Linked DNA regions of Saccharomyces cerevisiae S288C. The gene in region 2 interacts genetically with the main gene of each other region. Each region holds a gene or a part of one and is shown on either strand. Other genes may lie near its edges. The genes, in order: EFM6, BIT2, HXT5 and RIM1.

Region 1 (8,027 bases), on a different chromosome or scaffold from region 2:
GCTACTGCAGTAGACCAAATTGAAAGGATTTTTTGAACACTGGAGAAAAAAACACTAGGTTCGATTCTTTAAATTTAATACATGTCAAGGTCCGACCCAGCTTTCCACCTCAATATCAAAGCAATTTTTAATTATGCATTATAACGGTACCTATTCTCAATATGTCTTGACGTTCCAATATCATGTTAAACAAAGGTAGTCAAGGACGAAACATTTCCAAAACGGATCATCACCACCATAATGATTGAATTTACAGGCTTAACGGTTTTTAAATTTATTCTTCGCATGATTAAATTGCAGATGCTGGTCTAAGATACAAAGTATGTAGCAGAAACTTTATCCATTGTTCGTGGTACTTGTCCCAATGATCGTATAATGTAATTTGCTCTTGAATCGTATCCATAACCTCCTCAAGATCTACAAGAGATTCTGCCATAAAACGATTAAAAGCTATTTGAACAGGAGAACTAGAATTTTTAGGATCTCTGATGGCTTCAGAAGCCGCAGATGCTAACGATGATCCTTTGGTTGGTTTCCCATGAATGGAAATCGTAATGAATAAACATGCAACAGCGATAATATGAGGAGGGTAAAGCAAATGAACATCATTTATATAACTGTCGTTGATTAAGGACCAACAGTTTTGTAGATCATCTGACGATAGTGTTATTTGAAATGGCGGTTGCTTTAAGACTTGAACAATTTGCTTTAAGGATTGATAAGGGTGGTGGACAATTAAGTAACTTTCCAATTCTTCTAGTAAGTAGAACTCAAACTCAGTAACTTTAGTAGGGTCAGGAGGAATAAATTCGGGCCATAAGGTACGGGCTTCACTTACCAAAGTTCTGATATATTGCGGGCATTCTTCAACTTTGCATGCTAAATATACACACGTAGTAACCAGCATATATAGGTTTATTTCTCTAACTGAAGCCTTTATTAAAAACCTTGATAGATAAATATGTGCTGTAGCCAGTGCATACTGTCTTATATTTAGTCTCCTTCCAAGCTTCATTATCAGGAAATAGCAGTAGATCCTTAGATTATAATCTTTATCATAGTGTAAGTCTCGGTGAGTTATTGGTATATTCTTTGTGATGGATTGTTCGATGCCGTTTTGCTTCGAATCCATTACAATATTCAAACCTTGAGGAAACAGCTGGCACTCCAATAGCCATAACTTCTGCCTCTCTTTAGCCAATGATGCCTTGGTATATTGCCAATGATGCCTTTGTGTAGATGTCCAGAAGCTCCCCGACATGTCTAACTTTTGAGATTCAGATGCCTTATCGCTCTTCAACTAAAGTTTGAGAGGGCATTTTTTGTTCGAACAATATGAGTGCTAACAAGGTTGCTACCACATCAATGAACTCTACTCCTGTATGAACCCTAATTTTCCTTCATGAAAAATGAATTTTCGATGTTTTTCCGTGGATTTTATATTTTTTCAAATATATAAAGGAGTAAGAAAATAACTTTGTTTATCCTATGTTGCGGTAAAGAACTAAATAGTGGTCTTCACCTGTTTTCTAATTTCTTCTCGTTTAAAGTTCTTCAATCCATGACCAAAGAATCGTCACAAATCGAAGCTTACAAAATGGAGTAAAATTTTTTTTACTCAGTAATATGCTTTGGGTTGAAAGTCTCCCACCAATTCGTATGCGGAAAACGTAATGAGATTTAAAAATTTTAAATTGTTTAAATCAACTCATTAAGGAGGATGCCCTTGGGTATTCTGCTTCTTGACCTGGTACCTCTATTGCAGGGTACTGGTGTTTTCTTCGGTACTGGATTCCGTTTGTATGGAATCTAAACCATAGTTATGACGATTGCTCTTTCCCGTGCTGGATCGAGTAACCCAATGGAGCTTACTATTCTTGGTCCATGGATTCACCCCTTTTTATTTTTTTAACAGTTTGTTGTTTACACTACTTTTTAGCAGTGTAAAACTTTTGCATAGTTAAATATGCCGAACTGATCTAATAAAAAGTCTGAATAACTCAGATGAGTTATTTATTGGTAAACTTGTGTAAGAAGAAGATGGAATAGTGAATAATTCATCAAATGATGAAATACCAATGCAACAGAGTCAAGCTCTGAGTTTCAAAAAGAAACATGGACGAGATTGCTTTTTTATTACTGACCATGATTATTCATTACTTACCATTGTTCCTCATTCTATATAATTGATTGGGCACCACGTAAATTCTTGAGCCTTTTCGGTAGTATTCAATCGCAATATGGGGTAGTTTACGGAAGTGCTGTAAATGATGTCTAAAATGAACAACTATGCGTCCTTATTGTGACAATGAATTCCCTTCTTAAATCTCTATAGAGGTCGAATAGATGAATACTCAACACAAAACACTATAAAATAAAAAAAAATACAAAAGTGTTTATATTTTTGCTGTGCGTGCTAGCTCATAGCACCCTTACTTGTACGCTATCAGACGATAGAATTAAAGAGACACTTCGTCTGAATCCACTTATACTCTTTGTTTTAAAAGGTACTGCACCTTCTATGACCTTGATTTGCGTAACTTTAAATCCATATGACTAAGTATCTTCCAATCAGCTGTTAAATTGACTGATGGCCATCAAAATACATGCTAAACTAACATATGGACTGGCCCTTTCACCAACACGTGCCATTTTCCAGAAGGCCCCCAAAACCTCATGATTTTTGTAACGATCTAGGAGAGACGGCCACTGCCCATGAACATAAGAACATGAACAAATCAGTAACAATATCACTTGCAGAAGAGAACGAAAATTAAATAATGCAGACATATTCTGTCGTGGAAAAAGGACGCAACTTTGCAAAGTAAATCGATCCGGCTCTCTAGTTATTTTGCAAACGATGTTTACCGCTGTTCTGTCTTTATCCTTGAGTTGTCGTTGCTCACTCTATTGAAGATCAAAATTTCGCTCAAGAAGAGCAGTCCCACCATGCGTACACCACACTACAAAAATGAATGTTATATCGTTTTTTCATGAATTACAAATGTCTATCGAAAAGTTCATTACTAAATATAATAAGATCAGGATCATTAAGAGATAAATTCACTGTGTCAGGTTACTTCCTGATAAGCTGAAACAAGTGGGTTCTTTCCTTAAGATAATGTTCAAATTTACTAAAATCTGTAATTTCAAGAACGTCAAAATTTCTTTTAATCTTGTTGAAAAAATGTTTATCAGCTTTTCTTCTCTTCTTGTAAGCCATCAAGATTACAGGTGGGTTTATGCAGTGAGTGAGATCAAGTAGTGTTTTTTCTAGTAATGGAAAAGCTTCCTCGAGATACACACAATCAGCTGCCAAAACTAGATCAACGTTATTTGCTTGCATAGCACCTTCTTGAGGTGAGAAATCTGCCGACAGCGGCTCACCCCACCAAAGTTCCCTCGCAAGAACTTCATACTGAACTTCGTCCAGTTCTATATTTCTTTTCAATAGTGGTATCAACTTGTCAATGTCCGTAACATATACTTTAGTGCCATCGTGGAATGTGTTTTTTTCCAACAACCCCACGCACAATCCAACTAAACCTGTACCACTACCCAATTCTAAGACTTTTTTAAATTGTTTCGTACCATTGACCGTCTTACTTAGCAGATGGTCAACTGATTTCTCGAGTATGTACTCGCACAACAGTTCGCCAGCGATCCAGACTTTACCGCCACAACCACTTTCACCGCCATCTTCACAAATTTTCAATGCAGGCAATAATTTTCCACCGAAGGAAAGGTCTGTTTGACCGAGATGCTCCTTTGGCCTAGGAACAACTAGATCTCCAAACCCACCAAATATACTCTCCATACTCAATACCTCACTAGTCGCGTTTTTATAACGTTCTAGGGAAAATTATGGGCCATTTTTTTACATAGAGCCTGCTCATCATAACTTTTGAATTATTTAAATACGAAGAATTACTTTCAGTGTTTGGGTGTGAGGGACTTTTCGTTTGGTCAAGCCAAAAAAGCTTAAGAGAAAAGAAAAATCTCTTCTGGTTTTACTTGACTAGGTTTCCAAATTATAATATCCGTATTATTAACGTGACACTCAGTATTCTCCATTCGTTTACGGGAACGTTGATATGTAAACATATGCAGATCCTCGTATTTTAGCAACGACAGGGAGAAACAAGAAATGAGATAGGATGAAAAAAAATAAAAGTTAGATATTTCTATTTAATTAGAATTCCGCGTAATAAATAATGACACGCTATTATAGTTCATGTATTATTATCCATTACAGGACTATCCTCTTGAATTACGGGCGTATCCAACCTTCTTTCAAGTTCTTCTTCAGTTGAACACAACGAAATGGAATCGGCCAAAAATGCCTCTTTGGCCATAAAATCGAAGTGTCCAACCAAAAGCTCCATGTCACGTTCGGTATTCACGGATGCTGTTTCGTAATTTTCAGGATACACTAGTGCTGTTTTGCCATCATCAAGGATTAGGTATTGAGGATTCACTACTAACGTATGCTTGAGATGTGGTTCAAAAAATCTCCTTAGATCTTCGGCAGTATTTCCAGCAACCAAATTTTGAACCAAAAAACCATTTTTCTTAGCCACCTCTACTTTAGGTTCCGTATCTTGAACCTCGAAGTTGATTAGTTTAGCTGTGGTGCGAGCTTGAAATTCTTGTGCTTTCCTTTCCTTCTGCAATTGTTTAAATGATTCATATAGTGGGTAAGCTTCTGCTAATGATAAGACTGGTTTATTGCTTGCGCCATTATCTTCTTTCTTAATAAATACAGATCTCATGGGCTCTCTGTCCTGAGACTCGGAATATAGGCCGTAAGCTTTGGCTAGTTCACGGATGAAGTGGCGTTGAGGAGGCCTCATAGGTTTGAAATGCAAGCTTGAACGTGTTTTATCGTCCATTAATTTATTAAGAATAGCTTCAATTTGTGAACACCATCTTTCTTGCTTTGAATATACTGATAATGCTGCCTCTGTAAACGGTAACTGCAGTTCTTCAAATGTTGTAGCAACAGAGACCAGTTTTTTTAACGCATCTAGTTCATTACTTGTAAAATTATTGGTTTCTTCCTTAATTCCAAATGCCTCCTTCAATTCCTTTAGTCGTTTCAAAGCTTCACATTCTTCATTGCAATCCAGCACGGAAGATTCAGTTACACTTACTCTATCACTTTTTGCGCCACAAGTAACACTTTTTTTGATCCTTCCACATTTACAATAAATTTTCACTAGCGTGGCACAAGGTAAATCGGGACACTCTGTCTTACCATGGCACGGTTTAGGACATTCATGATTACAATTGAGCCTTTTTTGCCCACAGGTCTGTTTACACACCTTTTGGCAATTTCCTGGTAAATGACATGTTTTTTGGCAGGTATGATAACAGTAAGAGAGTGGTATCCCACATTTTATTCCACATGATACGTCTGTTTGAAAACAAACCGTTCTCACTTTAGTTTTCTTCCCACATTTACAAGGTTTAAATACGGTTTCCGTACATGGCGGGCACGACACATCCAAGGAATGACAGGTATGTGGCATTGGTTTATGACCACACGTAGATTCGCCACGCACAACTTTAATACATGGATGATTACATGTAGGTAGCTTCGTGCCACAACGCACGGGTGCAGGAACAACTGTATTGCCACATGGGCAGACCAGATCGTTCGAATCACTCTCTAAACAGGGCGGACACTTTCCTGGGTGACATTTTCTCTGACATTTATGAATTCCACATGATAGGGTCAAGTTACACGGTTTTAGGCAGATATGTTTTGCTTCCACAAGAGACTCATCCAACAAATCTTGCGTTCTGAACAAGTTTTTCTTCCTTCTTATCGCCGATGGCCTACCACTGCAGCACCTATCGGTGCATCTATGTCTACGGCATGACATCAGGGATTCGCATTTAATATTGCAGCGAGGCCTTCCTTGAAATCCACATGGAACTGAAAATGTACTTTGCTCACAAGCACATTTTACACTATCAATTTGCAAGCAGGGTTCCATACAGGCTTTATCATGACAAGTGAAGGGGCACGAATGTTTGCCACATTTTAGTGGTTTACCGCATCTTGAGTCGCAGGTTGGTATCGGATCATCACAATGCTTACGAGGCTTAGTCAGTTCCTCTAGGGCTGTCCGGCCACAGGGACAAGTTTTCAAAGAGCTAGGCAAAAATGGGCATGCCTTTTCTCCATTAATTGTGGGTGGGCTTATGCAAGATTCTATGAATGAATGCTTGCGACATGAGTAGTCGACAACTCTATTATCTGCACAGGCAAACACGCCTATCCACCTGTTCCCATTTTCATCCTTCGACGACTTACCGGACTTGGGAAACTTTGTTTCACTACACTTTATGTTAGCACGAGTGTGGTTACCACAGTAGCATTTTATTTGCTTTTTCGGACTATCTTTACTAATTATCATTTCTGGACATGGCCCACATAAGCCAGGGTGGCATTTCTTTTTACAGGTGTGGATGGAGCAAGATAAAGGCAATCCACATACTTCTTGACAGTTGAAGTTTTTTTTCATAACTTTAGACTGGTAACAAAAGATACTTTTCGAATGCTTACCACAGTGGCACATAATCTCGACCATTCTAGTACACTCTGGATGCGGCCCTAGATGACAAATTTTGGAACAACCATGCATACAAGTAGAAGCATTGCAGGTTTGTCCACATGAGTTAGGATCCAGCGGATTCGGATCAGGATTAACAACTTTACCGCACCAACATGTGGGCCGATTTTTTACCGGAACTCTTTTGCTAACATAATAGCAGTTTGGACATTTCCATATTCTATCTACGGTTTTTTCCGTTGATTTTAACGCCCATTCTCTTATGCATCCGTAATCAAACACTCTATAACATCTCTTGCAAGCAAACATTTGGCACGTATAATCCATCTCTACTGTACAAATCATACAAACATATGAGTCACCGCTAGAAATTTCCTGGATCGCACGTTCGTAATATTGCATATCATCATCACTTTCCTCTTCATACGAACTAGGCTGCTCGTTGGCGTCTTCAACACTCGAAATACACCCATCGCTTAGGTTGTGATGTCTATAAGTGTCACCGCCGTCTTGATTTTGCTCCAGGCCTAAAGACTCATGTTCGGTCATTTGTAATGCCTACGACTGCAAATAGATTAGAGCAGTCTCGTCTCACGCTGTTTCACTTGGTTGTTGCCACTGTCGCAAGAAAGAACTTTTATATTTACGACCTTTTCACAGAGCTCATCGATAATTTTTATAATAGTATATTACCCGAAAATCTTCCTTTATGTGCGGGATGTATAGATTATTGAAATGTCTTTTCCGTAGTACTACAGCAAAAATGCAATAATACATATCAGATATACACATATATACATGAATGTTCTGAAAGTTTAATCTCTTTCAAAACAGACAGCAAAGAAACCAATACCACCGTCACTTTTTGGTAGTGCCCTGATACAACCCTCGGCAAGCTGTTGAGGGTCATAGGTGACTCCATCTCTAAAAACCTCTTCGAACTCTTCTACCTTGCCTCTTCTAGGCCAAGAAGGAATAACTTCTCTTTTTGGCGCTACTTTCCAACCCCATTCTCTAACTGACTTATCTAAAAGAAGGTCTATGACGACTCGTTCATTTTCTTCCGCATGAATGGAACATGTGCTGTATACTATTTTTTTAGCCGCTGGGAAACTCATTGCATGCTTTACCATCTGGAACTGAAATGAACTCAGCTTCGCTAACCTTGTCTGTAGTTCTTCCTTTGCTATAAACTCCTCTTGCTCATCCGGCACAATGCCACCATCGTCATCTTTATCATCAATTTTCCTTCTATTAAATGAGTCAAAAAACTTACGACCAAATATACCGCTACCGGAGCAGCTCGGATCTACAATAAAACAAGTAACGTCCTTATATTTTTCAGGAGTAGCGAGCTTTGTAAAATCACCTACATTGACACTGATGTTGGGAGAACAGCCAGCTATCTTGATCATTTTTTGTAAAACTTTTGCTCTTTCAGGATCC
Region 2 (8,474 bases):
CCAGACAACGAAGATGACTGGGAAGACGTGGGCAGCGACGAAGCCGGAAGCGACGACGAAGATCTGCCACAAGAGTACTTATATAACGATGGTATAGAGCTGCATCTACCGACAGGCATCAAAGTTGGCCACAGGTCCTTGCAAAGATACTACAAGCAAGACTTAAAGCCCGAGGTGATACTGACCGAAGGCCAAGGTACCCTGGTCGCTGCAGAGACGAGATCGTTCTTACCTGCCTTCGACAAAAAGGGCGTGCAGACTCAACAGCGTGTTTGGCAAACTGAGAGGTTCGACAAGAAAAGGCTCGATAAGAGAAGTGCCAAGTTCGTCAATAACCAACCACACTACAGAGACCAACTTCTGCAGTAATTCTTTTTGCACTACTTTTTTTAGTATTTTGTCGCATATATACTGCTTCACCATTTGTACATTAGATAATTCTTCACTACCCCCTCTATAGCAATGTTATAGTCATTGAATCATGCTTTGAAATGCCTGTTCTAATATTCTCTTCATATAATAAATGCGTGATGCCGGGTATTTGTGCGCCCTTGTTTGGCGCAAAAATCTCGAAAGTGAAAAAACTAATAGGCTTCTTAAAGCAGTTATATCTACAGCAAAGGAAATAGCTGCTGAAGACTGAAGATGTTGGCGCGCAGTTTGGGTTACAGGTTGATATCGACCAGTCGTATCTTATATAATAAACCCACGGTTAAGTCAGTGGTGTCGTCGTGTCCTGCGGGAACATCGCTTAACTTAAACATATGGAAGAGCGGTAAAGACGCAGTGGCACTCGAGGACAAGGAGTATCCAAATTGGTTATGGAGCGTATTGGATAGTGATCACGTTGTCGAACATGCGGCTGAGGACCCAGAGGGACAGGCTCTCTTAAAGAGAAGAAAGAACATAAGGAAGGCGAACAGGCAGCGAATCAAGCAAAACAATTTCTTGAGCCAACTTTAAGCCTCCGTTAATAAGATCAAGTTTGGTATCCTTGTAAATAAATATGTGTGTACGTGGTTAAATAGTATGTTTTTAGCATAATGCCTTATTTTGTACCAACAAAAACATGATAGTTCCCACATATCTTTTCGCCTGGGGAATACCAAGTGGGACAAACAAAACGTTAAAAATTAAATCCTTTAGAGTACCACAAATTCGCAAGAAACAAGATAGTTGAATTGTCAATCATGGCTAAGATAAGTATGAATGTGCCCAGTGTAAAGATCAAAAACATGCCAAAGGTAAGGTTAAAAAGCACTAGAAAGACTGTCTCCACGAAAAACATGCGAAATAGGTTCAATTCATACTCGAAAAGAATTCGAAGGACGCTCACAAGAAAGAGATTTTAGGCAAACATGAAACGTATGCATTTCATAACACACACATATATATATTATATATTCAAAATAAAGCATAACAACATACATATTGAAAAGTAAATTGAACGTTACGCAGTTTCATCAAATAAGAATAGTATTATTAAAAATTGGCCGGACCAAATATCTAGAAATCCGTTACTCTTCCGTTAAACGAATAATCGCCGTGTCTCAACGGGTCCTGCTTGGGACCCCCAACTTCACCAGTCTTGGGGTTAACATCACCTTCGAATTCAGGTATGGTCTTGGAAAATTCAGGCGAGAATGACCCAATATCGTTTTTGGTTAAAAGCGGTGAATTCAAACTCTCCTTTGTACGATCGCCGGTGGCCTGCGCATTATACTGATCTATTGCCTCTTGCGATGTGGCAATCCTCTGAAGTCTTTCGAACTCTTCCTGCTCTTCTCTTGGCAGCTTGGGAGGGCCGGGGATCCTTTCAGTAGTTATTTTTCGGGTGGCCATATTAAATGGTCGTCCACGTAGTAGATTTAAGGCTCCCGTGCGAGGATACCGATAACCTGTGCTTTTGATGGCGCACAACATTAGTTCTTCTTTTTATTATTTGGTTCTTTCTGACTCTTTAGCAAGTTAATATGATCTGCACTTTCCCCATTGGCCCCTTTATAGGGCGGAAAAGAGCATCTGTTTTTCCGGATTCTTGGAACAAGAAAAAGGAAATACACCTATCTATATGCCACTATTGTATATTACTAAATAAAATATTTAATTATATACTCATGCGTATGCCCTCAAGAAGTTCACCAATAATTCTTTGGTTTCTGCTGTTACCTTTTATGGTATTCAGGATCCCAAAACACTGCAGCAGCGTCAGTTTATCTTCCTCTGTGACGCCGTTCTGTTCTTCCTCGCTGAAAATATATCTTTGAAAACTCTTACTGGCACCGTCATTTGTATGTAGGAAGCTTTCGTAATACGGAAGAATGATGGAGTCTCTAAAACACTTTAATAAAAGGACATCAATTGACGGTGCGTACCTTGAAGGTTCAGATAGATATCCGTCAAGCCAGTAGTTACTATTTTTTTGGAAGCTTTTCTCGAAGGGCAGTAACACTGCCATCATGTCGTAGTAAACCTGTTGGTAAAACACCTTCCAGATTATGCCGACTCTTTTCAAAGCCGTATTTACGGTATCCTCATTGGCATAATTGAACACAATCTGGTTCTCTAAAATGTAAAGTGAAGTGGTAATGAATTCCTCGATTTCGGCCAAAAACCTTGAGTGCGTTACGGCAGCCTTGGTTTGTGTTTTCAAAGTGATATAAAATTCCAGCAGCCGGTCAATATCTTCTATTTTTGCTGGCAATTGCCATACCCTCTTGTTTTTAAATAGCTCCACAACTATGCTGCAGTATATACCCCAGATATTCCCCTCCAGAACAAATAACTCCTGTACGGTGAAGCTTTTATAGTTTGCTATCAAGGATGGCAAGTTTTTCAGTAAATCATGTAGTAAAGAAACATTAGTCGCGTCGAAAGCATCATCTTGGATCAGCGATAGAGCTGTATCATTAGGGTTGTTGTTAATGCTAGGGTTAAAGGAATATACAGATTTTCCAGAGTCAATAAGGCCTCCAGTAGAAGTATGGATAAACTGTACGGGTGACCTATGTTTACCATATGAAGAATGCAGAAATTTACTGAATGGGCTGGGAACTACGGGTTCAACGTCGTCTTTACCAATGGAATTATGCGGCTTGTAGGGTAAAAGCTTTTTTGCCATTTTGCTAAAGACATTACTGCCTTTGTTTGAATGAGAATGTCCTGTAGACAGTGAAGATTGTAAACTGTTCACACTCATATTAGATTTCGTATGAAACAATTTAGAGCCACTCCTACTTATGTTGTTACTACTTGTGCCGGTAATAACAGTGCCGTAGTTTTTTGACCCGCTCCTGCTTCGATTTCTCATATTATCTTTTGAATTGGTGAAGATGGACAGTCGCCTTTTATTGCCCCTTGAGTTGGAAGAAAATAAACTATCATTAGACGTGGTGTTCCCCTCCATTCGGTTACTACTTGATGAACCTATTTCGGAGTGACCATCGTTATTCTCCGTGCCTTGGCTGTACTCCTCTTCAATCGAATCCGTCGAGCGCCTTGCATTGGAACCATCATGGAATATAGATTGAAACCCCACCTGTGACCATCTAGGAGCGGCATCATGAGGAGATTTGGATGTTTTTAGATGCACATCTTCGTCGGGATGTGTCAGCGCTTGCGGTACTATATCAGAAGAAACACTATAAACTCTAGCTGGTTTGCGATTAGTTGCTTTTATGTTCGGGTTCGTGACGCTCAGTGAGCCTGAGGTAGCACTTCTTTTACGATTTAGGTCTGTTGCCATTGCTTGACTCTGTAGTTTAAGACTCGCCTAGCCACTTATGCTTATTGTGGTTTGTATTTTTTATTTACTGTCTTCTATCTTTCTCCCTTTAATTTTGACCTTATTTTAAAGCCCGCAAAGATCGCTGAAAAATTGCTAGTAAAGGTCGCATGCAAAATGGATAAAGTGCTCTTGTCAAATTATTTCAACACCTTCATTCGCAGTATAGTGGTATATTGGATTGGGTAAAGGAAAACAGGCGACACCAATATTGGTTTAAGCTAGTAGCGTATGCAGCTCTATCCAGGCATTAAAATTGGTTCACCTATTTCTGATAGTAGTTTTTTTTTTTCCAATCGTAAATTTTTTCTTCAATTTCGCGATGAGCTACAAAATAATAGTAGTGCAATCTGTATATTACTTTTCAAGTATCTAACTCATGCAAGTTAGGAGTTCCATAGCGGATATTTCACTATGTTTGATCCTCTCGATTTGTACACCCCTGATGACATCCAGGTTGAGGCTTTACAGTTCAATCTAGCAGAGAGAGAGCCAAAAGATCCTTGCTCACCGCAACGTGACGAAATATTAACGGCTGTAGATGAAGAAGAGAGTGACGACGATGACACCATTATCGATAATCTGGATCTGCCCTCCGTGAAGTATGCTCCGCCAGAAGTTATCCTTTGTATACTAATACTTCTGAAGCCCGATAGACAAGTAAACTTCAATCAGGAGACAGGGAAGAACAAATCTGTACTGGAGGTTTGCAAGAGTCATGGGCTGGAACCCGATCTGCTGAAAAGACTTTTGACTTGGTATACAGAAGAATGGCCTAACAAGAGGTTAAACTCGTTGGAAAAGATATGCAATAAAATCCCAATGCTGAGATTTACAGTATCCAAAGAACTACTGTTGGGCTACTATACTAGTGTATTGAAAAAATACAATAATAGTTGCGGATTGAATGAGGAAATCATACAAGAACTTCTTAAGGAATTGAGCTCAAGGATATCCGAAAACTGTGGGAGAACGGCCCAACCATCCATAGTAAGATATTTTGAATTAAGAAATCTAAGCACTTCCATACCGCTTCATGAACCCTCTTTAACGGCCGATAATCTTGGTTGGAAAACATGGGGATCATCTTTAATACTTTCACAATTAGTCGTAGATCACCTGGATTACCTACATACCACTAATGTGAACATGTTAGCGAACAGCGACATCAAACAGATTAAAGTATTAGAATTAGGAGCGGGCACTGGTTTAGTAGGACTTTCATGGGCCTTAAAATGGAAAGAACTTTATGGAACTGAAAATATAGAAATCTTCGTGACGGATTTACCCGAGATTGTGACGAATTTGAAGAAAAATGTGTCATTAAATAATTTAGGAGATTTCGTTCAAGCAGAGATATTAGATTGGACTAATCCTCACGATTTTATAGATAAATTTGGACATGAAAATGAATTTGACGTCATATTGATCGCCGACCCGATATATTCGCCTCAGCATCCGGAATGGGTAGTTAACATGATATCGAAGTTTTTGGCGGCATCAGGGACCTGTCACCTAGAAATACCTTTAAGGGCAAAATACGCCAAAGAACGAGAGGTTTTGAAATTATTACTAAAAGAGAGTGATTTAAAAGTAGTTGAAGAACGGCATTCAGAGGGTGTGGATGATTGGGGTGCCGTTAAGTATTTATATAGGCAAATCGTTCGCAATTAGTGGGAAAGAAACGAACGCGCTTAGGCGAATAGTTTTTCTTTATAATAAAAATCATGCATGCTACATAGACATTGAAATGTGAATTATAAGTACTTGCCAGACCTTACATACTGATTTATACAATTTATGGAGAAGAAAACTGAATGGGCCACCTCGCCAAAAGGTTAGTTTTTGATTCAGACAGGAATCAATACTGGTAGTACATTAAACAATCAAGGCCGCCTTTATAGTTGCGCTTATGCAACATAATCATCTGCAATCTGCAATCTTAGTTTCACTGCCTGTGGAATAATTTTTTCCGTTAACTGCTTTGGAGTATTCTCGCAATAAAGGTTCATACCATACACTTAACTTTTCTTCACCTTTGTCCAGTAAATTTCTCAAGGCAGAATTCCTATAATGCACAGTCTCAAGATCTATAATAGCACCTGCGCTCCCATCACCTATCAAGCTGCCCATCACCTTTGGCATCTCATTGAGCAGAAATTTTGAAGTGTATTCGTATCTCGTCAAGGTTTCTACTACTTGCATTTGTTCTAAGTACGGTAGTCTTAAGACAATCTCAGCACTAAACTTGTTTCTTATAGCATTGAAACATTCTTCATCTGCTGAAAGATTTCTCAACATTCCAATGCTGTAGCCACTGACGTGAAAATAGTTTTCGACCACATCTTTATGATATTTTACCAAGTACTGCGGATTAATTAATTCCAACCACTCGGTTATTAATTTTGCTTCGGACCCAATTTTTAAAGAATCTTTGTCCATAGTCTTGAATAAAGAATATTCATCTTCCTCAATTCGTGACACCTCTGCGAATAACTGTAAAAGACAATTTGTAGAAAAGGCCCTGACATCAGGATAGTTCTCCGTGTCTTCAAAAAGTTGAGCAAATACTGGCAGTATTTTTTTTACATGTCTTAAAGCCCAGTATTTATCTTGATTTCGTATTTCCAGCAAAAACTTAGTATAATAATTAACCAATTCGATGAAAACGAGGATATCTTCAACGGATTTCAGTATCTCTTCTTTAGTAAAGCAAAATATGATATCCTTGAACTCAGGACCGCTGATGAATTGAAACTCAATAGTCAAGAAGTCAATTAATCTGACAAAAGAAACCGTTTCCATTCTACCCTTTACGCTCACCAGGTATGGCAAATTATTATCAAATAATCGACGCCTAATCAATTCATCTGTACTCAACCTTTCCAACGCTTTTTCGATTGCTGTAATGAGCTTATCATTCTCCACTTTCTCATCAAATAGAATATCCAATAGAATATCGATGATATTACTGGTCGCGAATAAACCCTTTGGCTGCGAATTCTCAATGACTCTACATGCTGCTACTTTTAATGGATCTATTTCTGACCTAAGGGCCTTCACTAAGTCCTCCGCGCTATAAACTTCTAGAACATCGTCAAAATCAGCCATGGGAACAAGCTTGTCCACAACGTCCAAAAGGTAATCGTAATTCAATGAATCATAGGATACGTTAGACGTCAGAAAACGCTTGATCGTAGCCAGTAGTGGTTTAACATCCATATCTGGAAGGGAGACAACAGTCACAAGATTCAAAGAACATTTCCTTAATAGTGTGTTGATATCTTCAGGCAAGTTATCTTCATTAAGTTCATTTTCTAATTGCGTAAGGAGATTTTCCACGTAATTTGTTTCTTTCTCACTCATTGCTCCTGTTTCGCTGAGTTCTTTTGCGGTGATTATAGTTGTAAACTTGTTTTATTTTTAATCCCGTAATTAAGGTGTTTATATAAACTTACTCTTCAATTTTTCTATATGCATTTGAAACAGAAAAAAAGATATAAAAATACCAGCTATAACAAAAATCCATGTAAATAAAATTACTGTATATTTTTTTATGTAATCTAATCAAAAAAAATTCACGTCTAATACTAGTCATAAATGGAGTTGAAGCCATTAACTACTTATTTTTTATCTTCGTCCTTTTTCTTTTCTAAATGGACATTATTACCATTAAAGGTTGTTGGGTCTTCAGGATCTTCTTGATGATCGTTGTTAACAAATTGGAAAACATTTGGCGAGACAGAACGTGACGTAGTAAGGTTGGTTTCCGATGGGTACCTGGTTCCGCTAGGTGTCAGCATTGGTGATGCATGAGCAGATGATTGAACTGGTTCCCGAACATTGTTGTATTGGAAACAGCTTGACGAAGCAGCTCCAGATAAAGGTGTTGAAGACCTCACTTCGTGACGATTCGGCTTCGATGTTTCCTCACGTTGTGATGTTACTTCAGGATCTTTATCGTTGTGCCACCACGTAGAGAATCCCTTATAAAGACGGCCCAAAAGGCTTGGTCCCTCCATCCCAGTCACAGATAGCCCCGAGTTTTGAGTTTCTAGTGGTTTAAGTAATAATGCAGACCTTGGAGTTAGTTCTAGTGTCTCTAGCGTCTTCAATTCATCAGAATCCTTAAATGTCACTCTGGGAATGCCCCTGTGGAATGAGTACGGGCAGTCTCCATCTGTCCTGTTGACGTCCACCCATTTTCTAACGTCATTTAATGTTTCAGACGAGTTGAACTCATGTTTTAGAGTCTTGCCATCAGTCATCCTGATTTGCAAGACGCATTTGCTGCTGTGCAGTTTTTGTGCGTCTTTTATGTAATCATGAACATCCAATGGCTTATCATCATCAAGGGTTCTGTGATGAGTTTCATCAAGAGCTTTTCTTTCTGCACGGTCTGCCCTAACAAGTCTTATAATTCTTTCTCTTTCCTCCTCAGCCAGCTTTCTTTGTTTCAGTTGTTCACGACGTTGGATCTCTAAGGTAGTCTCAGCAATCCGTTCTCTTGCATTTTTCCTATGGACGTCTCTGGATGACTTTTCTTCTCTAGCCAAACCTGGATTGGTTTCCCTGGACGAACTCTCACCAGCCTTTTTGTCTTTGATGCCTATGCACGCCAGCAACTTCTCCCAATGTCGGTCATCCTCGCCTTGAATAATCAATTCTATCTTTCCAGCACGTATCAAGT
Region 3 (8,940 bases), on a different chromosome or scaffold from region 2:
TACATATCATTAACTTCTTCTAATGATAAACCTTTAGTTTCTGGAACGAAGAAAAAGACGTAAAAGTAAGCGAAAACCATACAGCCCATGAAAACGTAACCGTAGTAGAAGTTGATGGCACCAGTAATAAATGGGGTGAAGAAACTAATCAAGAAACCCCAGATCCAGTTAGCAGCACTGGCAATAGACATACACTTGGATTTGACTCTTAATGGGAAACATTCTGAAATAACAACGTAAGCAATTGGGGCCCAGGTAGTAGCGAAACAGAAAATGTAGAAACATGCGAAAACAATCATACAGTTACCAGCACCCTTTGAAGATGGTTGATCTTGACCGTTTGGCCATAATCTGGTAACACCAACAGAGGCATAGACAACATAACAGCAGACCATACCGACAGCACCCCACATCAAACAGTTACGACGGCCAAAACGGTCAACGGTGTACAGAGAACAACAAGTGGAGAAGAAGTTGACGACACCAAAGACAATAGAAGTTTCAAAAGAGTCACTTAAACCGACAGCCTGGAAAACAATGGTACCGTAGTAGAAGAAATAGTTATCACCAGTTAATTGTTGTAGAGATTGAATCATGATACCCATCATAGTACGTTGAAACATGGCTGGTTTACCAGTGAATAATTCGCCCCAAGATGCAGTACCAGCGGCTCTCATTTCTTCGACACTGGCTTCGATAGTTTCCAACTCATATTGAATGTATGGATGGTCAGGTGGGCATTTGTTAACTTTAGCTAAAGAAGCCCTGGCTTCGTCGATTCTGCCAGCTTCAACCAAATAACGTGGAGATTCAGGAACAAACATCATACCACCAATCATAAATAAGGCCCAGGCGAAACACAAACCTAATGGAACTCTCCATTGGACAGAGTTTGAGTAATTCTTGGTACCAAAATTGGTACAGTAACCTAAGAAAATACCTAAAGTAATCATGACTTGGTAACATGAAACCAAGGTGCCTCTCATTTCACTGGGGGCGACCTCAGATATTAGCATGGGAGATAAAACTGTGATACCACCGACACCTAAACCAGAGATAATTCTACCAATGAAATATTGGTACCACTTGTTGATCGAGGCTATTTGAATAATGATACCGATAGTGTAGATTACTACAACGACAATCAAACCGATTCTACGACCATACATATCACCTAGCTTGGCTAAGACGATACCACCAATGGCACAACCAATGTTAAAAATAGAGACAATTAAACCAGTTCTCACCTTGGACAAGTAATGACTACCGTCGTGGTGCTTCATACCAAATCTTCTTAGAAAATCAGTTTGAGCAACAAAACCAGAAATGGTACCAGTATCCCATCCAAATATGAAACCACCGAAAGCAACCATAACACAACAGATAGAAACCGTTACGTAGACACCTTTTCCGGTGTTTGGAGGGGCAACGGCGGGTTGCACTTGACTTTCACTTAAGTTGTCGTGAAAACTTTCATTTTTACCTTCTGGAGTATTCATGGCCTTTGAACGACCAGATTCCAATTCATATGAGTTGGATGAATTGGATTTCTGAGGAGATATTAGATCGGGAGTTGAATTCATGATTTTACGTATATCAACTAGTTGACGATTATGATATCTTTATAGATTTTAAGGTGGGGAAAGAACATGAGACCCCAGATGGAATTGATTATGGGGACATTGTTGCCTTTATATATAATTTCAATATACTAATTCAAATGATTAAAAACGTGAGGGGGACACGCAACTTCGGGTGTTAAGAAATATTTTGCTACATTAGATAATGGTGGAGTTTCCTGGCTTGTCGGATAAAAGCCATCAAATGTCGCAGCAGCTCATGTTTACGTTTGCTGTCTTCTGCCCACGTCATATGAGTGGTATTCTTCTATCAGCACTTGATGAATATTCTTTTTCTCATATATCTGAAAGACAAAAGATCGGCACGGCAATGCCCTGCAGCATTTCTTCCTAGTTTTTCCGAATTTCCATTACGTATTGGATCTTGTGCGCATATTTGTCAGTCCTTCACGGAAAAAAAAAAAGAGCACTGGGTCACTTCGGAAAAACTTTTGACTCAATGCAACAGTGTCATAATCCTTTGCGCTGTCTCTTTGAAGAAAAATCAGGAGTGCAAGATATCGATTAATTCCTTGGAAGTTATGATGGTTAGTCTTAGTTTAACTCTCTTGAAGAAGGGTTTTTTCAGTTGGTCAACACTCTTTAGAGGTAAAAAAAAAAAAAAAAAAAAAAAAAAGAGAATTCTTCATGTAATTTACCATGATTCTACGTTTTTGCAAGCAAAAATGAAGATAATCCGAGCGCATGCGCAAGTAGTCCCTGCCATGCCGCTTCGGAAAAACTTTCGAAACCAATACTCCTTACATCCGCCTTGAATTTAGGACCTACAATTGTTGTCTCTTCTGCTTGAACCAATAAGCCCTAGAAACCTTACACCCTAATTTGCACAAGAAAACTACGAAAAAATTTTTTCCTCTTTTTTCCGCAGCTCCAATCTCGCCCTGCTATTTTTTTGGTTCGGAGAAAAATAGTCGGTCGATATGAATTGAAGTTTCATTGTGGCCACTCGTTTAGGAATGGAATAACCTCCGCGAATGGAAAAAAAGAACTCGGAATATCAAAAATTCCGGCTCAAAGGAAAAATTTGCTTCAGGAGGGGGGAATTATATTCCAGATGAGACCTGCAAGGATTTCTGTGTGAGGTTTTCTCGGAGGAATAATAGTTTTCCAAAAATTACTTTTGGCAACTACGTGAATATAATTGACTACGGATATCCTTCGAGAAGGCCATAAAAAGAACCGTGACAGGGCCAAACAGAAAAATAATGAAGACAAGTTTGCTTTTTCTCTCACTGTATTTGAGGATCGGAAGCTTTTTGCACTGAAAATATTCTGGGTTAACAAGGTTTAAAGAAGCAAACTGCCACAAAGTATATGAGAGTATAACCGGACGGTACCTATACTTTGAAGTTGGAATAAATACGGGGTAGACAAAAAGGATGTGTTTCTGTATGTCTGATGAGAATGATGTCATCAAAGAACGTAAACAACAGTAACTGTCTATATTCTTGCTTTTTATTATGCGCTGTTACAGCAGGTAGCGGAGTTTTCAGTTCTTTCCCTAGTATGTAGTATGAAGGATAATACGGTAAAAGAACGGGGCTCTTGATTCATCATATAAATTTATTTTCCCCTGTTGAAACCTCGAGTAACCGTCCTCACTGTTTTATTACCAAGGATGAGCTCGAGCAGTTGTAAGAGAGAAGTGGGCAGAAAAGTATAAGTAACAAGAAACGATATACAAGTTCTTGTTGTTAGGCGTAGCAACCCTTTCTCCCCTGGTTTGATCCTACTTAAAATAAAGAAAAAAAACAAAAACGTCATGATGATTTTGATATTATTAGACATACGTAATTTAGTTGAATTAAAGGAATAACAGGCAGCCCTATTAACCACGGACAAAATATCTCTGCATATGATTGCATTATTTGTAAACTATGAATGAACATATGAACGAAAACGATTAATATTAATATTAAAATTTGAAATGGTGCAATGCTGAACATTGCAAGTATGCGAAAATAGTTGATCCTACACTACAAGAGATTATTTTTCTTTAGTGAACATCCTTTTATAAAATGGTCTCGGATCATTTCTAGTAGCGTCTAGGTCATAATCTGTTGTTCTCCTAGATGGTGGGATCCATTTGGTAGACTTCCAAGGTAGCACATTTTCTTCATACATTTCGTTGACTTCTTCTAATGTTAAGCCCTTTGTCTCTGGAACAAAGAAGAACACATAAAAGTATGCGAACACCATACAACCCATAAAGACATAGCCATAATAGAAATTGATTGCTGAAGTAATAAATGGAGTGAAAAAACTGATCAAGAACCCCCAAATCCAGTTACAGGCACTTGCAATCGACATTGCTTTACCACGTACTCTTAAGGGATACGACTCAGAGATAAGGACATAGGCAACGGGGGCCCAAGTGGTAGCGAAACAGAAAATGTAGAAACATGCGAAAACAATCATACAGTTACCAGCACCCTTTGAAGATGGTTGATCTTGACCGTTTGGCCATAATCTGGTAACACCAACAGAGGCATAGACGACATAGCAACAAATCATACCTACACAGCCCCATAACAAACAATTACGACGACCAAAACGATCGACGGTATATAGCGAGAAAAAAGTCGAAACAAAATTAACAACACCCAAAACAATAGCAGTTTCAAATGAATCTTCCAAACCAACAGCCTGGAAAATTGTAGTACCATAGTAAAAGAAGTAATTGTCACCTGTCAGCTGTTGTAAAGATTGAATCATCATACCCATTAGTGTACGTCTGAACATCTGGGGCTTACCAGTAACCAATTCCCCCCAAGAAGCAGAGCCCGCCAATCTCTCAGCTTCAATAGAAGACTGATAGTTCTCCATTTCTAAAGTTACTAAAGGAGAGTCTTCAGTGGTTTTGTTAGCTCTTGCTAAGGACCGCTTGGCCTCTTCAATTTTTCCCACTTCTACCAGATAACGTGGGGATTCAGGAACGAACGTCATACCAACAATCATAAAAATAGACCATGCAAAGCATAAGCCTAATGGTACCCTCCATTGGACAGAGTTTGAGTAATTCTTGGTACCAAAATTAGTACAATATCCCAAAAAGATACCGAAAGTGATCATTAATTGGTAACATGAAACCAGAGTACCACGCAACTGCTTAGGCGACACTTCAGAAATTAGCATAGGCGCCAAAACTGTAATACCACCAACGCCCAGTCCTGAGATGATTCTTCCAATGAAATATTGATACCATTTGTCAATGGAGGCGATTTGGATGATGATCCCAATTGAGTAAATGACGACAACAGTCATCAGACCAATCTTACGTCCATACATATCACCGAGCTTTGACAAAACTATACCTCCGATAGCGCAGCCGATGTTGAAAATAGAAACCATCAAACCGGTTCTGACATCGGAAAGATAGGTAGTCCCGTTTGCACGGGTGCTGCCAAATCGCCTAATGAAGTCTGTTTGCCTGACAAAACCAGATATAGTACCAGTATCCCACCCAAACACGAACCCACCAAAAGCAACCATCAAACAGCAGACGGATACAAATAGTAAATCCGACTTCGATTTCTTCTCTAGTTGTTTGTCAACCTCCTTCTGAAGCTCTTCCAGTTCGTCTTTGGGAGGGCCTTCATGGGAAATGTAACTTGAGACGGGTTTAGCTTGTGCCAAATTATCGTTGTAACCGGCGGTACCAGGAGCAGTCGAGTTTCCTGACTTCTCGTTGTATGAGTTAGAATTTGTGCTCACAGTAGCAGACCCTTCCAAGGGGCCTTGATGAGCGTTTTCAAGTTCCGACATTCTTTCTTTACCTCTAATATATTCTTTTTTCTAGAAAAATAATATTTTTTGCTGGTTTTAACAAAGCTATGAAGTAAAATTGCAAAGTGAAAGCGAATCTTGTTTGCGTATATTATATATAGAAAAATTATTCAATCGACTTTTCTCTTTCTTTTGATAGTTTCTTATTCTTAGAGGGAGAACCGTTCGACTAGCATGAAAAGAAAAGAGAGAGACTCTTTTATACGTGAAATCAAAAAGAAACCAAACTTGAGGTACTCTACTAATGATTCTGGCCCTCCTTTCTTGTTTACTCCGTGCCCCTAAAACTAATTAACCCATGCCCATATATTCATCCACACGACCATTAATATTGAACATAAAGATATCATTTCACCAAGCAGTACTTCACTCAATAACAAGGTGTGAAATCCGGTATATTATTCCATCGCTATGAGTGCGGGATCAGAAAGTGAATTACTTACTGTCCCCTAATGTGCACAGCCACGGGGAATGCGGATCAACTGCAGAGAAAAGGGCGCACAGAGTTAGAATGCATCCCTTAATCCGGGAAGTAACAGTAACACGTCATGCGGATGTTTCTTCGGTGGGTATGGGTCACAATTTCGTCCACCAGTACATCACAGCATGCTCTCATTTCTTTACTTTTTGCTAGCAGATGATTACTTTCATTTCGGGTGGGATGGGCCACCTTTTTAGTTTATCCTCCGGGATGCCTTAAACAAGAAAATGGAACAGTGGGGATAAGACCCATAAAAAATCCGAAGTGATAAGTATTGATTGGTATATTCCCGTATCGGAGACCTTAACATAACATAGTGTAGTGATTTTGCGTATAGAAAAGTAACCAATAAAATAAGGTAAATATTGCTATATGAATGTAATAAATAAAATAATATATGGGCGCAACAAAAAGAACGCAAGAAAGAAGCATTGATCAGTGCTTTTTACTAGTTTTCAAGCTTTTCACCCTCCTTAATAGCTTGTTGCCGGTGTTTTCCTTTTTAACAACATCTTCGTGACCGCTTCCTTGGGTGGCAGTGACCGGAACAGAAGTTCTATTATCGTCTACGTCCTTTTGCTCCAAGTGTCCACTATGTGTTTTCACTAGCTTTAAATTGTTGTTGTTCACTTGTAGATGTCTTCTTGAGGGGAGAGACTTTTTTCTTGCTATGCTGTTTTTCCTACGAGATTCTTGTGCGTGGTTGATAACATCTTGCTCTATGGCAGCGGAAGACGCTGGTGCGCCATCCAGGAACGTCGTTGAGCCTAGACCCATCGTAATGGGCCCATGGACTAGTTCAGTTTTCATTTTGGAATCGAACTGGGTAATATTTTTTGAATTCGGTTTAATCGCATCCAAAGTCGTAGTACTGGAATTGGCCTTATTGAATAAATATGCTCTATCTTGTAGTTGGTTCAGCGTCTCAGAATCGTCGTCTACTGTTTCCCTACCAAACACCTCATCTAAGGTAGACTTCTTACTTGTGCGGCCGCCTACTGTATTATTTGGACCATCTGCTGGGAAGGCCAGTACAGGCGCCACTTTATTATTCTTATTTCTCTGTGGAGTGCATGCATCAAAGGGGCCGTCATGATGGAAAGATCCGCCAAATAATCCTGTAACATCCATCTTGTCAATAGTGTCTACATTTTTAGGGGGCTTAACCTTGGTTCTGCTTTTGCTCTTCTGCTTATCTTTGTCCCTATGTCCGTGTGATGTACGACGATGGTGGTGGTGGTTGTGTTGGTGACTATTTGAACCACTACTGCGTTTCTTTTCTTTTGGGTATGGAGCTTGCTGTTTCGGTGTCCCCGCAGCTTCTTCATATGATGGGAGTCTTTCTTGTCTAGAATTGGAAACGCTACTGTTATGGGCCCTCCTAGTGTCATCTTCATTTAAAAATGGGTTACTGCAATAATTATGGATTATCTCAATCGATTTTGAAAGGAGAAAAAGAGTTAAGTTAGTATTCTGAAGTAGTCATGACTGTTAGTTACACTGTAGTGCAATTTTGGGAGTGGAGCTACACATACTTATAATTCCTGGGCGTTTCATCCCTGCTTGATACTCTGTCCTCTGAAGGAGAAACTCTGAAGGGGTTAATCACTGTATTCACGCCATTTTGAGGACCGCCTATGGTCCTTCCTGTTTGATTCATTTGCGTCTGTTTGATATAGTATTCTTTGGAAAAAACGCTTCTGAAATACAAAATAGTAGTAATTTTGCAAGATTTACCAGAAGACAGTCAAGAAAAAATAAAGATAAAAGAGGAAGCAAAGCTACAGTTTTATCCCTGTAATTATGAGATTCTCTCATCCTATGTAGAATTTCACCCTTTCTCTGCCTGCGTTTCACATACTGCCTTTTTTTTTTTTTTGGCAGTATTCTCAGCATAGTCAGCGTTTCGCTGCCGAGAGCCCTTCTGTGGCTGGAACCCCACCAAAACACGAACCCAAAAATACTTCTCCTGTATTCCCCTTGATCAACGCCTTTCTACATGAGGAGGCGCAGGTGAATGCAGAAAGGCACAATATAGCCAACACGTAAAAATCACAATCATATCAGTCTATTCATTCATTTACGTATTTAATTATTTAGTAATGGATATACGAACCGCATCGGCCACAGCCACAACAATATGTCGTTATTTCCAGTTTTCTGCGTGTAAGCACAGGGTCTCCTTTGAGCGAGGCTCAAAACTGCACAAATTTTTGATGGATATTTTCGTGAGTTGCGGCAGTCGAGACTTTAATGAAATCGTCTTTTTGAAGTTTTTCTTGAATTTTTTTATGCATTATCACCAAGTAATTGTCATATGATTCGATTCTGTTGACGGTCTTGTCCTCGCAAAGCAATTGACTCATCACATTACTGTAATATTGATCAACATTAGGCCTCAACAAGACTAACGGCAATGATGACTTGTTGACTACTTGTTGCCAGTTTTTAATGACGTTTGAAGCCTTTTGATTAATACTAGTGCCCGTCTCAGGCAATGTTCCACTAAATAACGAAATTTGGCTGACGGGCAAGGATTCATCCACTGACAGCAGGTCTTGCAAGAGCATTCTATTGGTGTTCTCATTAAACCATAGATAGATAGTATCACCTTGGAAAATCAAGTAGCAACCGCCGTTAATGAAATTAGAGTGTGAGGCTCTTACAGATAGATTATTAATAGAGCTGGAGTTGATCTGTAATAATTTATCATTAGCATCGTAAAAGGTCAGATCAGTTTCCTCTAATAATACATGGAATGGCACAATTTGTGGATAAAGTTTGTAGCAAAGTTGTGCTGAGTTCAATGAATCGTACTTCAATAAATCATAAATTCGTTCATTACCACGGGTACTTTGAGCGTTTGGCTTCATTAATTCGCTTTTTTCAAATGCTAACATGTAAGCAGGCAATGTCTTTATAGAATCCGGCAGTATCAATTGCGTTGATGAGTTACTGCTAACCAATCCTCTATATTGGGTCAAGATTTCGACCATCTTGTCATCAATTAATCTTCTGATCTTTACAAAGTCA
Region 4 (7,455 bases), on a different chromosome or scaffold from region 2:
AGCATGCAATAATCACAGCACGGTAAACCAACTTGTGTCATATTTAAGAGAAATATTAAAACGCTAAGAAGATAGCTCCCATAATAGAAGTACAAGTTATATTTATCGTTGTCCAACTGCAGAAGTTAAATAAAGGTAAATAAATCGAGCTAAGAGAAAAAAAAAGTATAGGCAAAATTCCGACCGGAGCTAGCTTTATCTTGCTCCTCCACCTAAGTCACCTGCTCAGGTCACTCAAGTTCACAATCTTCTGAGAGGATAGATAAAGGAAAAATTGGAACAGATCTTTTCATGGCCTGGCAATTGTCTGTGGATTGGTAAAGCTCTGTCAGTGAAAAAAAAAGTTCTCGCTCCTTCTTGGTCTCTTCTATTGCCTGAGATTCTAATGCTTTCCTTACATTGTTTCATAAAATAACCAATTTTTCGTGTCACAATAATCTTGAAATTTGAAGTTTCTAAAATGCATCAGACATGGTGTCGTAATTAGTTGACTTACTTTAACTTCTACCAAGAAGTAGAAAATAGCAGAGTGCGTGAACGCATAGCAGAGAACAAAATACTTACTAAACCTTTTCGAATAAGTTAGCAAGAAGCTTTTAAAAACATAGACTTAGAAATTGTCCTGCACTTGGCAAGGAAGAAAAGAAAGATTAGTTAAACAGAAATCGAAAAATGCATGATGAAAAACTAAGTAGACCTCTTTAGAAGTGTCTTAGCGGCTATTGTTCATGATACTTTTGAAAAGAGCCCTGAGATTTTCCATTACCATCAACAGGACCAATGAATAGCTAAAAGAATCGAATGTATCTATCGGAAAGGATTTGAAATTTCGGCCATTTCCTCATTATGAAGTTCAACTTCCATACTCTCGTCGTCGCCATCATTTTCATTATCCTGGTTGTCGTCATCGTCATCTTCTCCGGGCATGTCATTAGCATCTATATAAGGAACCTGTTTCTTAGACAAATTCTCTTTTATCTGTAGTGAGCGTATGACGACCGAGACAATTCCGCTTGATATTGCCGTAGCCAAGAGGGCGTAGCAACCTCTCTCAAACTTGGGCACCATATCTGAAGCAAAGAATAATATAGACCACCATGCGTTAACGGCCCCTGAAAACATATTCATGGAAGCAAGAACGATAGCACGTTCTTGAAGATCTGCATGACAAATAATGTTTGCCCACGAAAAAAAAACCGCTTGTCCAGCGTATGCTACGCCTCCAAGATACTGTGCAGAAAAGACGACTTTTGGATTTAGTGGGTCTGCACGTATTAGTACCGCAACAATAACCATTACCAATGATATGAAAACAGAAACATGCCAATGCCTAGCTCTTGGGATCTTACTCATATATACAGCAGAACAAAGCGTAGAAACTATACCTACGGCAAATATCCCCGAAGGATAATTATTTCTTTGCGCCAACGTATATTTTTGGTTTTGTAACCATAATGCAAATGTAGAATTAGATGCGAAACCCAAGTTCTCACCTCCCAGAACCCAAACAAGAGAGAACATCCACCAGTGCCACCTTTTTAAGACTCTAGGAATAGTCGACCAGTCTAACCGGGTGCTTTCGTCCCTAGCGGGGAGCCTTCTCCTAGCATAATGTAGCTCTTGTTCATTAAAAATGTATCTCGTCATAGAAAATTTGCTAACAGCACTTGTTTGATCAGGAAGGCCGGGGAAGAAAATAAACCCATAAATTGCAATGGGTAATGTGATACAAAAATCAATAATGAATAACCATCTCCAACCCGCCAAGCCATTCCGCCCATTCAAATGAGTAAAGATACTTGTTTGCATAAATCCACTGAACATAGATCCCACCAAACCGCTACCTGTAAAAATAGCACTTCTAATGGGCAATTCGTCTTCTTTATACCACGAACCCAAAACAAAATGTGTTCCTGAAAATGTGCAACTCTCAAATAAGGCTTGAAAGAATCTAATTGCGCAAATATGTTTGAACGATGTAACTTTGTACATTCCCAAGGTCAATAAACCCCAAGCAAACGTACAAAAACTTAGCCATATCCTGGGCGGAACACACAATAACATTAAATTATTGGGGACCATACCTACAATGTAACCAATCATGAAAACTGTGTTAGACACGGTCAAATCGTTTCCGACCATCTTAAGATCTTCCTTCATACCGGATATATATGCATTGGTGAAACCGACACGGTCGACATAATTAATCCAGTATTGCAAGCAAACAAATGATAGCACAAACAAGTCTATTTTAAACAGAAGTAATCTCTTTTTAATGGCACGCTTGGAAGAAACAGATTCTCTCTCAACCTCATGTTGAGTGATAGATTTCGATTCCTTCATCATGACTTAGGCCCAGGCTCTCTCCAATCAAAAATTCTGAAAACAGCTTCTCAATCTTGAATAAATCGGAATACTTTTATATCAGAATTACAGGTCCGCCTCATTTCTCTTAAGAGCCGATGTCTTCCTTTACAATATACGCATGTAGAAGATTTGATCGATGCTGAGTTCTTGTAATTCGTCAAAAATGCCTTTCAAGATCGACTACTCAAAATCTACAATAATCGGACTGCATGGATCAATGGAGGTGTAGGCAATTTTGTAACAATGAAGGATATGTTAAATTCGCTAAAGCTTCCTCCTCTTTTGCTAAATTTCATCATCAAAAAGCATTTTGCATAACACACGTTAACCAATATATTATAGTATATATACATTCTATTTGAGAATAAGCATAGTTTTACATAACTAGTTCGTTATTCCAAATGTATTTTTCCTATTTGCCATAAATATTTTAAGTAAAAGAAAGCATGCTCTAGATAAAAAATATCGAGGAAGAGTCGAAATAAGCAAGCGTAAATATTACAATTATTCTGAAGAAGCAGCATTTTCTTGGCCCTCAGCATCTTCTAATTTCTTCCCATTCTTCAATAAATTAATGTCCTTTTGAACTAAGCTCAAAGTAGTACCCTTAGAACCGTCGTCTCTCTCGAAGACATAGTTAGCAGCATCTGCTTCAACATATACCAAAGCGCTGAATAAATTATGGAAAGGAAATGTTAGTAAATTATAACGCGTAATTGTAAAGTAAGTAAAATTGAAGAATAAATAACATACCCTTTTCTAACATATTCTGTCAAAAAATTGATTTGAGGTTCATTGAAAACGGTGATATTATACCAATTGGTTTGGCCATCTCTTCTTGGTTGCGAAGCGATACTATATTTCAAATAACGATTGTTATTAGCAGAAGTATGTTCAGTGAATTCAGAGCCAATGCGGCCGACGATGGACATTTTCGAGAAGTCCATCTTCTTGGTAGTAGCATGGAAGAAACGAGCTTGAGTACGTAAAAACATTACAATGGATTAGTGGATTTTTGTTTGTTTTGTATTTGTCAAGGACACACAATTAGCAAATGACTTGTTATCAAATTCGTGGTATTTGTCTTTCTCAACTACTGTGTTAGCTTTTTTTTTTTCGTCTGGGCGCAAACGCCTTTTAAGCACTCCTCCACAAATAATAAGTATTAGATGAAAAGTCCTAAAAGTCCGAAAAATGGAATAGAAAAGAACGAAAATACAGAATCTTTACAGAACATTATAGTACATAAGTGTAGTTCTACGTAAGTCTTAAACAAAGGTTTCAAAAGGAAAATATGATTTAGCGGCGCCACCTCCATAAATTATGGATTAGCAAACAAAAGAACAATTAATATTGAAAAATAGAAGCATAGCAGAAATATCAAGCGAGACCATGGTAGTTACCAGTGGTCAAAGTTCTTTTTGTGTTTACATCGAGCCACTCACCACCAAATGGATTGTTTTCATCCAGCTCCTGACAAGTCAAGGTGATTCCACTGCCGGCTCCGCTATGGGGTAGAGCCACGTTATCCGTCTCACTGATAGTGAATTTGGTAATCACGCCTTTAGCGGATTCATGTGCCAGGCCGTCTGTAATAAATCTGGCGATTAATCTTTGACCTTCACCATTTCTTGTCAAAACAACTGGTTCTTTAAATCTCCACGTTATTCTCTTCTTTTCTTTACTGAAGGAGCCCTGAGGTTTTGATAAAGCGCTTGTTGCATTAGCACCATCGATATTCACAAAGACAACGAGGTCTTCTATTACGATTTGTGATATTTCATCGGGTAAGCTTGGTGACATCTTGACAGTCAATACAACACTTGCCTGGTGAGATTCAAATCTCCAGACCGGATGAATAACAATAGGCGCGATCGGCTCCTTTATGGAATATTTAATAGCTCCTAAGGTTCTAGAATCGATAAATGAAGGGTTAACTTTGAATTCTTCTGGAGCAACACGCTCAATAAAGGCTTGGTTCAGAATGACCTTTTCGAACTTAGCGCCATTATTGATTCTCAAATTAATACCGATAGGTAAAGGCGAATTCATGACAGAATTGGGTAAATAGTTGAGGGCAATTTCCCCAATCAGTTGGGAGTTCTGCAACATACCGTCTTTGAAAGAAGCATTGAGCACTTCTGCGATACTAGCATTCAACCCAAATTGAGATGTATCTAAAGAGGAGTGCTGAAACAACGATTGACCAACTAAAGATGTTGAAGAGCCCGTGGCTTGAGGATTTAGTTCTCTTAGCTCGCCAGTAATCTGAGAGGAGAGTGTGGAAACTGGACGTTCCTGGGGAATAGAGGACAAGGAAGAAGAAGTAGGGGTAGCGCCTGAGCCGTGATTAGGCAAAGAGTCATAGAGTTGAGAATCCCTGTTATGAATGAAATTTTGTTTCCTTGAGGGTGGTAAAGCAGGTGCGCGGATATGCAAGGGCCTTGAATCAACTTGACCTGAAGGTTGGTTATCAACCGTAGCAGTAGGAAGTGAAATACTGGGAGAGGCAGGCTCAACTGGTAATGGTTTTGTTTTTGATTGTGGCTGAAGTGGAGGTTGAGAAATTGATATCGGTACTGTCTTGGGTAAGTTACTTGAGTCTGGTTCTTTCGCAGTGGGTGGAGAACTTTGTTGTGGCGTTGAAGGAGGCACTTCAGAAGGAGTAAAAGTTTGCGCAGGTGGTGTATCGGCAGTAACAGGTGCATCTACGTTTTTAGGAGTAGCATGGGGAGGAAGAGGAGGAGTGTCACTAGCTTCACCCGGGGTCCAATTGTTTGATTTTGATGATGAATAGGTGGGTCGACGTTGCTTCTGATAAATAGAAGAAGTTGCAGTTGAAGACACTCTGGTGGAAGAATTATTCGGAGTCTCAGTGATGGATGCCTGAATATGAGAGTTTGATGATGATTGTTGTTGTCTCTTGTTCTTGGTCTTATTTCTACCGAAAATTGAGCCCACTTTAGATCTTAGGGTGTGGGACGACTTTTTTGATTTCAAGGAAGAATTATTAGTAGAGTCTGAAAATTCGTTATTCATGAGATCATTATGAGTGAGACTGGAAGATGCAGAGGCAAGACGATGTCCAATGTTTCCAAATGCACTCTTACGCTTATCCTTTTGTGGGGATTTCTTTTCTCTTTCCGTATTAGCGGCACCATTGGATACAGAGACCGGGCGGGCACCAGTGGCAGAAGCTGGCGAAGCATTATTAGGAACTACTTCTTTGGAAGAAGAGGATAGTTGGAAGTTGTATTGACTGGCATCTTTGGCAAAACGATCAATTTCACTTTGCGGTTCGAATGCCAGGAATTTCGTCATCACCGTTTCGCATTCTTTGGTAGTATTTAGTAAATAATCGCTAAAACTGGTTTGAAATCTAAGCATACAGTTTTTTAAAGTGTCCAAACGGTTATAGTCAATAGTCTCGAACAGCTCAAACAAATAGGGGCTTTGCTGGTCCCATTGCCTTCTTGCCTCTTCTAAGTGACTAGAGTTTTCGTTATTCTTACTATAGTGCTCAATTGAAGCTGCATTTTTACTAAGCTTGGAATGTAAGTCCTTGCTTTCTCTCCAGCTAGTATTGTTCTCCACGGATTCCTTCAATTCACGAACGACTTGCTGGTCCAAAGTGTTGTAGTATTCTGTACTTGACTTCAAATCTGATTTTAGTTCTTCAATTACAGTATCCCATACATTTCTTAGCTCTCCCAGCGAGTTGAATCTGAATGCACTCATTTCCTGCGGAGTCAAAACATTACTTTCAATCATTTGAGCGTTTAAGATCTTTGTTATATCTTCATTTTCAGCTATTATTTTTCTCAATTGCTGAGCATAGTTCCTCTTCAGATTTGCCAATTCCTTAAATAACAGGTAAAAGTCTTTATTCAACAATTTGACCTGCGATAACCTGATTCTAATAGTTTCGGTAGCCTCGTAAGGACTCTTAGTAGTCAATATGCTATCTGCATATTTGGTTCTTTGTTCCGTCATGAGAGGTGATTATTCGCAATTTTCAAATAAGCTTGCTTCAATACGACTACAGCAAAAGTAATTCCTTTATTAAGGCAATAACTACGAGACCTTTTCTTTGTATTTCGTGAAAACTTGAATGCAATATAGAGTTTTTCAATCTGCAAGTACTTAAGGGGCCCTTTTAGCTACACATAATATAGAAATGAAAGATCACGGGCTACGAAAAGCCATTCATAATCATATACAAATATCACCTGTAATATATAAGAATATATGAGCTATTGATTTTCTTCTACCGCCTGATTTAGTTGTTTTCACTCTTCAAAACTAAATTCAGTATTAGCGACAGTGGAGGTGCTAGTACTCTGTAAATGAAAGTAAACGCTGGTATTCATGTAGAGCACCAACCTGACTGTGAATGCGTAAGCTGAAACATGATAGCCGCCTGTAAAATATTGTTATCAATAAGTAGACCGGCTTACACGAATAGGATTCGCTTTATTCTTTACTCCCCACTCAACCCTAAGCAATGTTCAAAATAGTGTGAGATTATTTTATGCGCGCCTCCTTCAAAAAAAAATTTACATATATAACATAGGTGGAAAAACTTCCCTCCGATGTCTAATAAGTTAATCAATAGAATGAAATGGACACGAAAAGGCGTAGACATGGAAGATGACAATGACGAGAACGTCATTTTTTTTTCCACGTATTTTAAAAAGGGGTAGCCTGCTTCACCAGATGTTCTTGTCAACAAAATTCTAAAATGATGATTTTTTTAAACACAATTTATGCTAGATAGTATCTGAAAGCATTCAAACTTTATGATTACAGTGTTTTCGACAGTTTTAAATCTCTGAACCGATTTTGTAACTCTTGGTAATTGTGTCCTTACATTTCCGTAATGACGTTAATCAAATCGCAATCTTGAATCTTCTTAACTAAAAGGTTATAAGGGCTTTTTTTTATTACTAAATTGACGTATGAGCTGATTTGATTATGGGCGCTATATAATTATATGTACACATTTTTTAACTGTAAAAAATAATACGGCAATACAAGTACAATACATGCATAACTCATAATCTTCTACCTCTTCTACCACCCTTCTTT

What was found.
Region 1: mutations in BIT2 (region 2) and EFM6 together harm fitness more than expected from each alone (negative genetic interaction), as found in Saccharomyces cerevisiae (2 studies listed by BioGRID).
Region 3: mutations in BIT2 (region 2) and HXT5 together harm fitness more than expected from each alone (negative genetic interaction), as found in Saccharomyces cerevisiae (2 studies listed by BioGRID).
Region 4: mutations in BIT2 (region 2) and RIM1 together harm fitness more than expected from each alone (negative genetic interaction), as found in Saccharomyces cerevisiae (2 studies listed by BioGRID).

Annotation. Positions count from the first base shown.
Region 1 is NC_001146.8:584,031-592,057, forward strand, and holds EFM6 (putative protein-lysine N-methyltransferase), read right to left. Parts: upstream 3,818-8,027; coding exon 3,077-3,817; downstream 1-3,076. Other genes in the region: cyclin-dependent protein serine/threonine kinase regulator SSN8, read right to left, coding at 290-1,261; KSH1 (Ksh1p), read right to left, coding at 2,572-2,790; FAP1 (Fap1p), read right to left, coding at 4,233-7,130; rRNA (cytosine-C5-)-methyltransferase RCM1, read right to left, coding at 7,397-8,027. UniProt on the Saccharomyces cerevisiae protein: S-adenosyl-L-methionine-dependent protein-lysine N-methyltransferase that methylates elongation factor 1-alpha (TEF1 and TEF2) at 'Lys-390'.
Region 2 is NC_001134.8:740,654-749,127, forward strand, and holds BIT2 (Bit2p), read right to left. Parts: upstream 3,746-8,474; coding exon 2,108-3,745; downstream 1-2,107. Other genes in the region: REI1 (Rei1p), read left to right, coding at 1-369; mitochondrial 54S ribosomal protein mL54 MRPL37, read left to right, coding at 646-963; SDH8 (Sdh8p), read right to left, coding at 1,507-1,923; EFM2 (S-adenosylmethionine-dependent methyltransferase), read left to right, coding at 4,199-5,458; HSM3 (Hsm3p), read right to left, coding at 5,708-7,150; UBX7 (Ubx7p), read right to left, coding at 7,408-8,474.
Region 3 is NC_001140.6:291,043-299,982, forward strand, and holds HXT5 (hexose transporter HXT5), read right to left. Parts: upstream 5,406-8,940; coding exon 3,627-5,405; downstream 1-3,626. Other genes in the region: hexose transporter HXT1, read right to left, coding at 1-1,583; PAL2 (Pal2p), read right to left, coding at 6,343-7,318, 7,443-7,567; SFB3 (Sfb3p), read right to left, coding at 8,103-8,940.
Region 4 is NC_001135.5:170,079-177,533, forward strand, and holds RIM1 (Rim1p), read right to left. Parts: upstream 3,363-7,455; coding exon 3,121-3,362; intron 3,038-3,120; coding exon 2,872-3,037; downstream 1-2,871. Other genes in the region: FEN2 (Fen2p), read right to left, coding at 808-2,346; SYP1 (Syp1p), read right to left, coding at 3,748-6,360; 40S ribosomal protein uS11 RPS14A, read right to left, coding at 7,422-7,455. UniProt on the Saccharomyces cerevisiae protein: This protein binds preferentially and cooperatively to single-stranded DNA (ssDNS). Involved in mitochondrial DNA replication. Stimulates PIF1 helicase activity.